Linked DNA regions of Arabidopsis thaliana. The protein of the gene in region 2 interacts with the protein of the main gene of each other region in a pairwise test. Each region holds a gene or a part of one and is shown on either strand. Other genes may lie near its edges. The genes, in order: AT3G56130 and CAC2.

Region 1 (5,084 bases), on a different chromosome or scaffold from region 2:
CATAGCCATCGGCTCACCAATGGCCGTCGCGTCATAGATTCTCGAGGTTATCGTCTCTTCCTTATTCACGGGTGGAGGCGGCGACGGTGTTGTGGTCGCAGGAGGAGGAGGAGGAGCTGCTGATTCCGCAGGCGATGTTACTGTAGCGGACGAGCTCTCCTCGGAGGCTAAAGAGACAGACGGTTTGAGAAACAAGGAAGCAGCCGAGACTAGAAGTGGTGGCGCGAGTAGAAAAGCGCGGCGAGAGAAGGCGGTTCGTGATGGAAGATCGGAATCAGAAAGAGCAACAATGGATAGAGAATTGTTCTTCTCGCTGGTGAGGTTGATCGGAAAATGAAGGCCATAGAAACGTCGGCGGCGAGGACGGGAGGAGGAGGAGCAAGGGCAGTGAAATAATGGTTGAGAAGCGAAGAGATCATTCGTGGTGAGTTTCATTCTCAGAGGCCAGAGCTGAGAAGAGAGCTCCGTTTGTACACGTCAGCGTATTACATACATTGCTAAGACCGATACGAATAAGAGAAGAATTTTAATATTTTCCTTCACTGTTAAAAACATTCGTCAATTTTCTTCTGAATTTTTGAGCCTTGATTTTATTTGATGATCGGAGAAGATAAGATAGCCACGTCATTTCTATAAAAATTCCACAATTGTTTTTTTTCTCTGGTGCAGAAAATCCACATTACGTGACAAATGATGAGAGCAAGATCAAAGTAGACTCTTTGCAACTAAACAGATTACAAATCTTCATTGAACAAACACAGGAGAAGATGAATAGTACAGTCTCCGGATGAAAGACTATTCATTTGCTATGGAATTGGGCTGAAGAAACCATCATCACTGGATGTTGATGTCGTGGAAAGATGGCAAGACTGCAACCAGAGGATCTCCATAACCTACGGAGTCTGTTTGCACACGAAGCATGAGTTCATATCAATTCACTTATATAATTTCTGAATGTTCATACTAAATGAAACGGTTTGAATACTCAAATGTTTACCTCCGTCATCTGAAAGAAGCTTAAGGACTTCTCCAGCTACATCTGACTGCTCGACAAATAGCAAGATCGATGAGTCTGATTAGATAGTTTCAAAGAAGAGATGGATATATTAGTTAAGATATTACCGTCACTGGAAGTTCTGTTCCCAACTGATGTAAGTATCCAATAACTTGGCCTTCCTTTATTGCATCACCCTAAGGAGTTTTTTTCACTTAGCTCTTTGATCTTATTTCTGTTCTTTTGTTCTAAGAGATGCAAAAGAATTTAGAGTCGTTTACCTCTTTGCAGCTAGGAGATTGTTTCTTTCCTTTTACAGTTCTGCTCCTCTGAAACTTGCCCACCTTTTGGTAAGAGAAGAAACAAGATCAAATCAAACAAGAAAACTGCAGAGAAATTAAGGGATATGAAAGCAACCACTAATTAGGAAATGGATCTCATACTGCGGGAGATGTGACTAACACATAGTTGGTGGATCCAGATGCCTCCAAAGCAGCCAACTTTGCTGGTTTCCCATATGATGTATTCTTAAATGGAGACACTTTCTCAGAGGAAGGCTTTGCTTGAGATGGGCTAGGAGCCGAAGAAGCAGATTTATTCATAGGTTCAGAAGGAATAGGAGGCGCTACAGTTGGAGATATATCCGCCACGGGAATGGGGTTTGTGGCTGCTCCAATCTTCCGTTTTAGGTTCATCTCGAAATCTCCAACCTGTAGCAAAAGAAAGCTTCAGAAGAGTCTAATTGTTGGAACCTACATTCTATTATCTCAAATCAGTGATATTTAGCCCCATATTGTTGGTTGAGTAAAATGCACTCGTCTTTGTAGTAGCCTCAAAGAAAGTTTACAAATAATAATAATAATGAAGTTAAAACTAATGGCAGAGAGACTTGCCTTAAGTTGCAGCACAGCAACCTCAGTTTCATCACACATCTCGTGAACCAGTGCCTGCAACATTTCATCTAACAACATATAAAGAAAGGTACATCCATACGTCATGATTAAAAATTATAAGAGTAGATTGCCTGAAGTTATGCATCCAAAATCCTGACGATCTAGAAAGTGCATATTTGAGGAAATCGTCATATCATCACCTACCAAACTTATAAATTAAAGAACCTAATATCTAAGACCCATGAAAGGCAAGGAAGAAACCTCCACTTCTTTCGGGAAAGTTATCCGTCGAACTGTTTTCTTCCCGTCTGACACACTAGCATCAGATGAACCTGCAAAGCCAAAAATAAGCAAAAGTCATAGGAAATAAAAGAAAAATGTTCCAATATCACATCACTGTATCTCCTGGTTCCAAGACAGCTGGTAAAAGACCGAGGCTTACAGTTACATTTCTAGTTCCTTTAAGAGCAAACGAGACTAAGAATTTCAGTTCCAGTTCCTTTAAGAGCAAAACAGATTAATACCATCTTTGGCCAATGGATCGTATTAGCAAAGTGATGAGACAAGCCTGATAGTAAAAAAAGGCATTAACCAGCAAAATGAACATGAAGAAGAATTGTGGAAGATAAACTCACCATCACTTATGGTTGTTGTCGAAGATTTAGCGGCCTTAGCACGTAACACGAGCCTGTAGTTGCTGTTCCTGTTGGATAATCTCCACCGTGGCACACATGAATTACCAGAGGCAGACCAGTTTCCAGAAAGCGAGTGAACCTCACTCTGTGAATTAATGGCTGACCCTAAAGTCTCTGTAAAATGGAACAAATAAAATTCACTTTTTCTAGCTGAAACATCTCTTGATACAAATTAGACACACAAGATCCGAGATTGAAACTTAATTAAGTCGCTAAATTACACTCTAAGAAGCAACAACGTCACTAACGGATAGCTCCAATCTATGCCTTTCATTTCCGAAATTTTACTCATGGTCCTCCATTTCTAGTTTTCCTATCCTCATGAAATCAACAGAATAAGTAAAACGCAGAGAGTGAGAGAGCAAGAGACTCACGATGGAGAGATCCGAGAGCTGCAGAAGACGCCATTGGAAGAAGAAGAAAGCGTGAGCTAGATAGGAGAAAAAGGTTTTGGTTGATTGAATTGACGCCAAGAAGAAAGAGTGTGTTAGTTGAGCTAAGATCAGTTGAAGAAGATGACGGTTGAACAAATTTAATTATTTTGAGCGGCCTTCTTCTTTGGTAACTCCGTCCGCCGCATCTACTACTACACTACGGTCCGTCACTTTCCTTTGCTAACATGCGCCGGTATACTAACAAAAAGGCGTAATTTAGTTCTGAAAATGTAGTATTATTAACAAAGGCATATTCTTATCTCTCTTATATGCTTTCATCAATTAATTTTATCAAAAGTCTTCAGCTTCTGTTAAATACTATTAAGCAAATTTAAGTGTCCCCATTTTCTATCAACTTATGCAGTAGCTGACTCTATGTGCCATGGAATCAAACAAACAATACCAAAAGCAAAAAGAAAAGATTTCAAATGCGTTTTTTGATTCTTCTTTCTTTCCTAGAAATGTCTTTTACTCTTCTTGCTTCAAGCATGCTTCAGGTAGTCTAAAGCTTAGGCAAAACATAGCCTGCAAAGTACAAAAGAAATCTAGCTCAGGAACTACAGATGCTATGTTTTGATAATATATCAAAAAGAAAAACAGACGAGTGGGATCTTACCTTGTTTGGAGCAACATCTCTAACCTTGTGGAAGACTGGATCTTCTATATGGAACTTCAAAGCAGTTTCAGCTTCCTTAAAAATATCAACAGAAGCTGTATATCAGATTTAAAGGCTCGCAGAAAAACGCTACCAGATCTTTGGTACAAAGATATGATATAGTGAAGACAACAAAACTAGAAGGGACAAGCAGGAGGGGAGCGGTTGATACTTACTGCAATTATAAACTCTGTGGTTTCGCTTGCACGGATGAAACAATAGCAATGAATTAATGGAAGAGGTCCTTTCCAATACTTCTTTTGAATAACATTACTGAACGAATCTGCAAAAACAATTACAGAGCTTATATGCATTAGTAGTGTGACAAAAACAAATCCTGACTTCCTTTCTTACTTCTAACTGAAATTGAAGAGCCAATCACATAACTCTTCAAACAAGCCTTAATACATGATGCATCTCCTATTTCTATTGGTCCTGGTCCTAATTAACTTGCTGATGCGGAATGTAGTTGATAGTTGATGAAACTCTAATGCCTTGCAAGTATATGCAAGACTCTAGTCCCAAATTTTGAACAAAAATAATAAAGAATCATTGATAGCATACCAAGAAACTGCAAGGCAGATGCTGGAAGGTTCATAATAACATGGTCGATATGTTCCCACGGCTTTGCGATTGGAAGCAACGTTTGTCTCAATCTCTTATTTGCGTGTCCTTCTATACTCTTGCAGTCTTTTCCTACCCCATTTTCTGCACTCAATTAACATACTGGTGAGGATCCCCAGGCATTAGGCAATATTAACTAAAACAATGTCTTGGAGAAATCTTTATGAGGCATTTCTTACCCGTCTTTGTAGTACCAGATGGCTTCTTATTTGCACCAAGAGGCTCATTTATGCTTGCATTGGATTCACGTATTTCCTCTCCACTGGAATTAGTCTCACCTATGATTAAGCAAAGTAAACAGAAACCCACCGGTAAAGTTATTTTTTGTCTCTCGTAAAACCAAATATGCCAACTATAATGCAAAAAAATAGTTTAAACCAAAAGAACTACCTCCTCGACTCACGGCTGCTTCCTTTGTTTTATCATTATCAGCCACTGATTGCAAATTATCCTCGCAAGTTGACACCGCCATCAAGTGAGAGAAAAATTTACGAGCATCCATGTTGTGCACACAAATCAAATCATCAACCTTATTGAACTTTGCATTGATCTTCAAGTACCGAACACTGTCTGGATTTAAATCATTTGCATACACAAAGCATCCTTTCTGTGCAGCTGGAATAGCAAAAGGCCCAATACCAGCAAACATATCACATACGGTTTCCCCAGGTTTAAACAAAGATGAAAGCCGCATGTGCTCATGTTCCAATCTTGAATTCCAATAAACCAAGCCATAGTCCAGCTTAAATCTAGCCCCATATTGCTTTACTTCTGTTTCCATCCCATTTT
Region 2 (6,764 bases):
AGTGTGACGGAGGATAATAATCAGAACCACTCGTCGACTACGACCACTAGTACTGGTTTGGTGTATTTCCCATTGTACGCTTTGGATATGCATGAACAAGGGAGGTATATGGAGCTCGCTGATCCGAGGCTAGAGGGTCGGGTAACGAGCCAAGAGGCTGAGAAGTTGGTTCGGATAGCTTTGTGTTGCGTCCACGAGGAGCCAGCATTGAGGCCAACAATGGCAGCGGTAGTGGGTATGTTCGAAGGAAGTATACCGTTGGGGAACCCGAGGATGGAGTCGTTGAACTTCTTGAGGTTTTATGGGCTGAGGTTTGCGGAGTCTTCCATGGTTGAAGGACAAAATGGGGAGAGTGAAACTATGGTCTTCCACCGGCGAGAGAGCTCTAATAGTGGCGGCTCTAGGCAGTCTGCGTCTTACATAGCGTCTCAGGAAGTGTCCGGCCCGCGATGAGATCACCTAAATGTGAATTATTTTTGTCTTTTGTTTTATTTGGTTTTGGTTACTTTGTTAATAGTGATAGGCCTTGTTCATATAATCTCTACTATATATGAAAATTATTGAAAAATCTTGACATAGAGACTACAAACAAAAGTGTTTCCTCTTGTTTATGATACAAGAAGAACATTGATAAAACCACAGACTCTAGTAAAACAGTCTTATCGTTACCGAAGTTTGTACCAATGAACACACAAAAGGAGACGAAGATTGCAATAATTGGGTGGTCTTTCAGAGCTGATGTATCATTCTAAACCGTTGCGTTTGTCAGATCTTTCACTGCCACAATTTCTTGAGGCTGCATATACAATATAACCATGTTAGAACCCACCATTTGGTTTAACCAACCTTACTATTACAAACACAATTTAATCTGTCTTCCTCTATATATAGTTTCATTCTTCTCATGCAATTCTCCTATCTCTATGTTCAGCTTTACCAAAGGCTTCATATCCCACTAACTTAGAAGCATTGAAAATGAATACATCCAATGGCCTGTGTCTTTAGCCGACCACAGAGACATTCGAATTTACCTCAGCTAGCTCCTCTTCATGCTTGACGATGAAAGCTGTATCAACTTTTCCATTTTTGAAATCCTGTGACCAACACAACAATTGGATTACAAAAAAACCAACATTTTCATTACAAAATTCGCTAAACTATAGCTTTACTTATTTCACACACCTCAACATCAAGGATAAGTTTGTGGTAATTGATAGTCGTTGGAACCCCTGATGAAACCAAGAAAACGAAATTTGATTTAACATTCCACCAGATGTCCAATGTAACGAAATGTCACATCTTACACAGAATAAAAGAAAAACAAAACAGACAATGAAGAAGCATAAACAATATGGAATTAACAAAAAGTAGTACTCGACATACCTGTAATGATAGTGTCATTAAGCGCCCGCTTCATCCGTTCAATTGCTTTTTCCCTCGTTGGAGCCCACACAATAAGCTACAAGAGATTTAGTGTGTCAACACATCAGCTATAAGTTCCAGTAAGCTGCTGCTATAGAAGCAAATGAACAACACCAGGAAGACTTTTCCAATATTTGTTTAAGATTCCAAAACACCCGAGTGATTATTTTACCATGAAGCCACAAAATTTGTTCCTAAATAACCAAACAGATACTAAATGGCTATCCAGAGAAAGTAAAAGACAGATATTACCTTCCCAAGAAGAGAATCATAGCTTGGAGGCACAACATAGTCGGAATAGACATGGCTGTCCATTCTAACGAAAGGACCTCCAGATGGCAGGTATGATGTTATTCTGCCTGTTGTTGTAAGAGTGACGTTATTTTAAAGAAAGCCAATCTGCTAAAATTCGAAGACGTTAACATATAAAAGTCTACTGAAATATACCAGGTCCAGGTCTGAATCCTTTAAATGGATCTTCTGCATTGATACGACATTCAATTGAGTGCCCTCTGAGCACAATATCTTCCTGTAAACAAACAAAATTAAATTTTGAAATAACTTTTTTGGTATCCACTCAAAACATCATATACAACACTATTCAAACCTGTTTGTAACGAAGTTTCTCTCCCATTGCAACACGAATCTGCTCCTCTATCAAATCAACAGAGTAAATCATCTCTGTCACAGGATGCTCCACCTGAGTTTAGATTCAAGAAATGGTTCGCATTCAGTATACTTCAGATGCTTATAAATATACTTAGCAGTCATAATAAAATTCAACCTGGATCCTAGTGTTCATTTCCATGAAGTAGAAGGAACCTCTCTCATCTAAAAGAAACTCCACAGTACCAACACCAATGTACCCAATGGATGCTGCTGCTGCGACTGCTGCATCACCCATGGCTTTTCGCAATTCAGCGGTCAATGCTGGAGAAGGTGCTTCTTCCAGAAGCTTTTGGTTACGCCTCTGTTGTCAGGGGAAGATATAATTAAATGATCCAGATGGTTTTAGATGTCATACAAGAATTGAAAGAAAGCAGCAAGAGGTATACTCAAATTCTGAGAACTAGTATCGAAGTTCGAGTTATCTTAGCAATTAGTACAGGAAAAAATCAGTTTAGCAGATCATGCAGCTGGGATATGACATGCAAGTGCAGTAATTAGGCTGAAGTAAATTTATTCCTGTTTTCATATATTCAGTTACATTTATTCTTGGAGCACTATGCAACAATTGATGGTAATGAAATTATAAAAAACCTAAGAGGAAGATACCTGGATGCTGCAGTCACGCTCACCAAAGTGAACAACATTTCCAAATTTATCTGCCAGCACCTGAAATACAAGAGGTACAGAGAGAAAATATGGCTTTGGGATCAATAATGTGTATCACTAGACCATCAACTCACAAGAATCATCTTTTGCTAAAACCTCAACTGTTTTGAACAACTTCTCCTGATAAAATGCATACCTGGAACTCAATATGTCTAGGGTTTTGTACGAACTTCTCCAGATAACATCCATCATTCCCAAAAGCAGCAGCAGCCTCGCTCTTAGCTTGCTGTCGATAAAAAAATTAAGCCAAGTTCAATAAAGGGAAGTCGAATCTTTTGTGGAATTTTCATTTAAGAAAACTGTGACTATAAAGGCAAGCGGAAAGCATACAATCTGGTTGTTTAATTGATATCAATGGTCAGTATTACTAGATTTAAGCTACTACACTTCCAGCTTTCACAACTATACAGTTGTCTAAATTTCGAAATGTGGCAAACATCATGAGATTACACCTTTACATTGTCTGAGTTAGAAAGAAATAAAGAATCTGTGACAATACTGCAATTATGCTTATGGAGAACTTGATCCCTGGACTCATTAAAAATTCTATCAGAGGAATTGTTGGTTCAGATTTACATGATTGTCATACCTGCAACAGTTTTACAAACTCTCCCGGTTCCTTAGCAAGACGCATTCCACGTCCACCACCACCAGCTGTTGCCTTGAAACCAGAAAAGTGAGAACAGTCAGTTTTTGTAACTATAAGCATATCAATAAGTACAGGGAGACAAGCTGAGCATAAAATAAACATACTTAAATTTGTGTCTTTTCAAGCAGACCAATTTTGAGAATCCAGTTTATCGGTTACATAAAAGAAAGTATGAAATACAAATTTAACTCCAAATCCAATCAAGTTAATATTACCTTGATCATTACAGGGAAACCAATCTCATTGGCGACCCTGACAGCTTCTTCTGTACTCTGCAATAAGACAAAATAAAACATTCAAATCCCAAGACTTCTCTTGACATGCAAAAACTTGAAATACTAAACTGATAATCTAAAAAAATACCTGCAATAGCCCATCACTCCCTGGTACAGTGGGAACCCCTGCATTTTTCATTGTCTCTCTTGCAGTCGCTTTGTCTCCCATAACACGGATGCTATCAGGCTACAGATAGAAAAGACGAAATACCGATAAATCAGATACTGAAATCTTCCTTCTCTCCAACAAAAGAAAGCTAGGGCTGAACTGAGACTAATGAAGTTCTGCAAAGTCTATAAAGTCTTTGAAGAGATATAAGACACTTACATTAGGTCCAATAAAATTGATCCCATGGTCTCTACACATTTCAACAAAGAGAGCGTTCTCCGAAAGAAAACCATATCCAGGATGAAGCATTGTACATCCACGGCTAATAGCCGCAGACAGAACATTCGGAATCACCAAATACCTACACACAAAAGGACAAGAATTCAACACTAGTTCATTCTCTACACAACAAGATCAATCATTTTGTTCCACACTTACGACTGGTTACTAGGAGCTTCACCAATACAAACAGCTTCATCAGCTAATTTAACATGAAGAGCATCTTTATCTATAGTAGAATACACAGCAACACAAGGAATCCCCATTTCATGAGCAGTTCTGATAACACGAACTGCAATTTCACCTCGATTCGCTACGAGAATCTTATCACCACCACTGCATGTAACACCAAGACCACCACTAGTAGCTCTCTTGAGTTTCTTCTGGCTAACCTTTAGAGTTTGAGTTCTTTGTCTAGGGAAGTTAACTTTGCTTGGCATCATTAAGTTACATAGTGAACTTCTGATAACTCCTCCTCCTCCTGACTTCCCTAAGGCTAAAGACTTCATATAACAGATTTAACAGATTCAGAGACATGAAACAGAGAAACAGAGAAACAGAGATTGACGAATTTCAAATTAATAGCGTTTTGGTGCTTACGGGTGGAGAAGTAATGGATTTGGAATTGGTAATCATAGAAGCGTCCATTTCCAAATGCAGGAGGCAAATCCTGGTTTAGCAATGGAAAGGAAGTGAGGGAAACCTCGTGATTATCGAAACAGATCTAATTGTTGAGAGAGAGAGAGAGAATGAAATGTTGAGAGTGAAACTCTGAGATATTGAATCCTCCGCCCGACTGGTTTGATTTGGTGGATTTTGTGCCAACTCTAAACGCAAACACGGAACGCAAACTCGGAACGCAAACGTGGAACGCAGACTCTTTTAAAGATAAATTATATGGGTCATGGGCCAGACTGGTTTCAATGTTTCTTATGGGTCTTTTTTTTTTTTTTTTTGTCGGCCAACATTATATTGATAAAGCCCATTAAGCTTACAAGGATGAAAAAGGTCTTATGGGTCCAGTTTACACTTAATTACATATGTAACAAATTTAATTATATACATCAAGAAAACCAAGTTGCAAAGATACTCATTTTTTAATTTTGATTATCATCTTTCAACTTATTGCTTTGCTTTTATGTTGTTATATGGGTTGAAACATCAATGGAAGAGTCTAGTTCTAAATTTATTTTCAGAGGCTATGATCATATCTTATATTGTTTTATTTTATTTCTGGGTTTGTGCAAAAAACCTTCAAATTCGACCATTTTTGCAACTTTATCTTTCACATCAAAAATGAAAAATAATCTTATGAAGTTCAGAATAATACACATACTATGTCAGTACCCGTGCTACGCACGGTATTCTTGGTTTAATCAATCATCAAATCTCAATTATGTATATATTACAAATCTACTATATTTTCTTTGTTTGTAAATATGTAGTTGTATATCATATATTATTGGTATTAACTAAATATATTTAGTCTCCTCAGCTTGTATTTTGTTTAGTATATGTAGTCTCCTCAGGAGGCAATCCTCGTGAGTATCGAAATAGATCTAATCGCAGAAGAAACGCTGTATTTGTTCTTCACAGAGAGAGAGAGAGATATTGAAATGTTGAGAGTGAAACTGTGAGATATATTGAATCCTCCGCCTGAATGGTTTTAATTTGGTGGATTTTGTGCCAACTCTAAACGTCGAACGCAAACGCTGAACGCTGAACGCTGAACGCAAACGCTTTTAAAGTTTTGTTTGTTTGTTTATTTAAATAATAATGTGTCATAAGAAGATATATTATATAAGGTTTCAATGTTTTTTATTGGTCCAGTGCACACTTAATTACATATGCACCAAATTTAATCATATACATCAAGAAAACCAAGTTCCAAAGATAATCATCTTCGAACCTATCTCAAATTTTAAATATTTTTGTTTTGCTTTTCTGTTGTTATATGGGTTGAAACATCATTGGAAGAGTCTAATTTTAAATTTATTTTTAGAGGCTATGATCTATATATCCTATATTGTTGTATTTTATTTTTGGGTTTTGTGCAAAAACAACTTTCAAATTCGTCTATTTTTGCAATTTTATCTTTCACATAAAAAAATGCAAAATACTTATGAATTTCAAAATAATACGCAAATTAACTTTTTTGCTATTGTCAAAAATTCAATTTTTTGATAAATAATACTTATTTCTTCAATAGATTGCTATATTGGAAGAGTCTAATTCAAAAACAAATGTATGTGATCATGAAAATATTTACAATATATGTAAATTTGCAAAAAAATGGCTATATTTCGCATTATTTTTAAAATTTATAGGATTATTTGCATTTTTTTAACGTGAAGGGTAAAGCTGCAACAATATACAATTTCAGTTTTTTTTGCACAAAACCCTTTATTTATATTGTGTTACTAGATTATACTTATTTCTTCTTTGATTTTCATATTTATTTTAGTTCAAATTCACCTTTGTAAACTGGAAGTCTTGATACATGTAACAAAATATCAATTTTGACCATCATGCAAGGAAATGAAGTTGAAAAGATCTATCTCTATTATCTATTTTGGATATTTGACTATTTTCGATAATATTCGTGTGTCATTTTATTTATGTAATATTTAACAAAATAATTGTTGTGATATATTTATCAAATAATATTTTCTTACCTCTTCCATATCTCAAATAA

The links.
Region 1: the proteins of CAC2 (region 2) and AT3G56130 interact in a two-hybrid assay, tested with the Arabidopsis thaliana proteins (one large-scale study listed by BioGRID).

What each region holds. Positions count from the first base shown.
Region 1 is NC_003074.8:20,824,758-20,829,841, reverse strand, and holds AT3G56130 (biotin/lipoyl attachment domain-containing protein), read right to left. Parts: upstream 3,267-5,084; 5' UTR 2,991-3,266; coding exon 2,957-2,990; intron 2,697-2,956; coding exon 2,523-2,696; intron 2,220-2,522; coding exon 2,149-2,219; exon of another isoform or gene 1,993-2,148; coding exon of another isoform or gene 1,942-1,992; coding exon 1,888-1,941; coding exon of another isoform or gene 1,884-1,887; intron 1,705-1,883; coding exon 1,438-1,704; intron 1,339-1,437; coding exon 1,276-1,338; intron 1,192-1,275; coding exon 1,123-1,191; coding exon of another isoform or gene 1,111-1,122; exon of another isoform or gene 1,044-1,110; coding exon 998-1,043; coding exon of another isoform or gene 936-997; exon of another isoform or gene 903-935; coding exon 835-902; 3' UTR 572-834; downstream 1-571. Other genes in the region: AT3G56140 (DUF399 family protein, putative (DUF399 and DUF3411)), read right to left, coding at 1-435; AT3G56120 (S-adenosyl-L-methionine-dependent methyltransferases superfamily protein), read right to left, coding at 3,485-3,541, 3,633-3,707, 3,848-3,954, 4,236-4,379, 4,475-4,573, 4,686-5,084.
Region 2 is NC_003076.8:13,582,253-13,589,016, reverse strand, and holds CAC2 (acetyl Co-enzyme a carboxylase biotin carboxylase subunit), read right to left. Parts: upstream 4,912-6,764; 5' UTR 4,718-4,911; coding exon 4,670-4,717; intron 4,573-4,669; coding exon 4,229-4,572; intron 4,152-4,228; coding exon 4,010-4,151; intron 3,869-4,009; coding exon 3,770-3,868; intron 3,679-3,769; coding exon 3,622-3,678; intron 3,419-3,621; coding exon 3,347-3,418; intron 2,984-3,346; coding exon 2,894-2,983; intron 2,758-2,893; coding exon 2,698-2,757; intron 2,393-2,697; coding exon 2,207-2,392; intron 2,123-2,206; coding exon 2,030-2,122; intron 1,952-2,029; coding exon 1,870-1,951; intron 1,782-1,869; coding exon 1,675-1,781; intron 1,460-1,674; coding exon 1,384-1,459; coding exon of another isoform or gene 1,380-1,383; intron 1,230-1,379; coding exon 1,183-1,229; intron 1,095-1,182; coding exon 1,032-1,094; intron 956-1,031; coding exon 854-955; 3' UTR 797-853; coding exon of another isoform or gene 749-796; 3' UTR 687-748; downstream 1-686. Other genes in the region: AT5G35370 (S-locus lectin protein kinase family protein), read left to right, coding at 1-453. UniProt on the Arabidopsis thaliana protein: This protein is a component of the acetyl coenzyme A carboxylase complex; first, biotin carboxylase catalyzes the carboxylation of the carrier protein and then the transcarboxylase transfers the carboxyl group to form malonyl-CoA.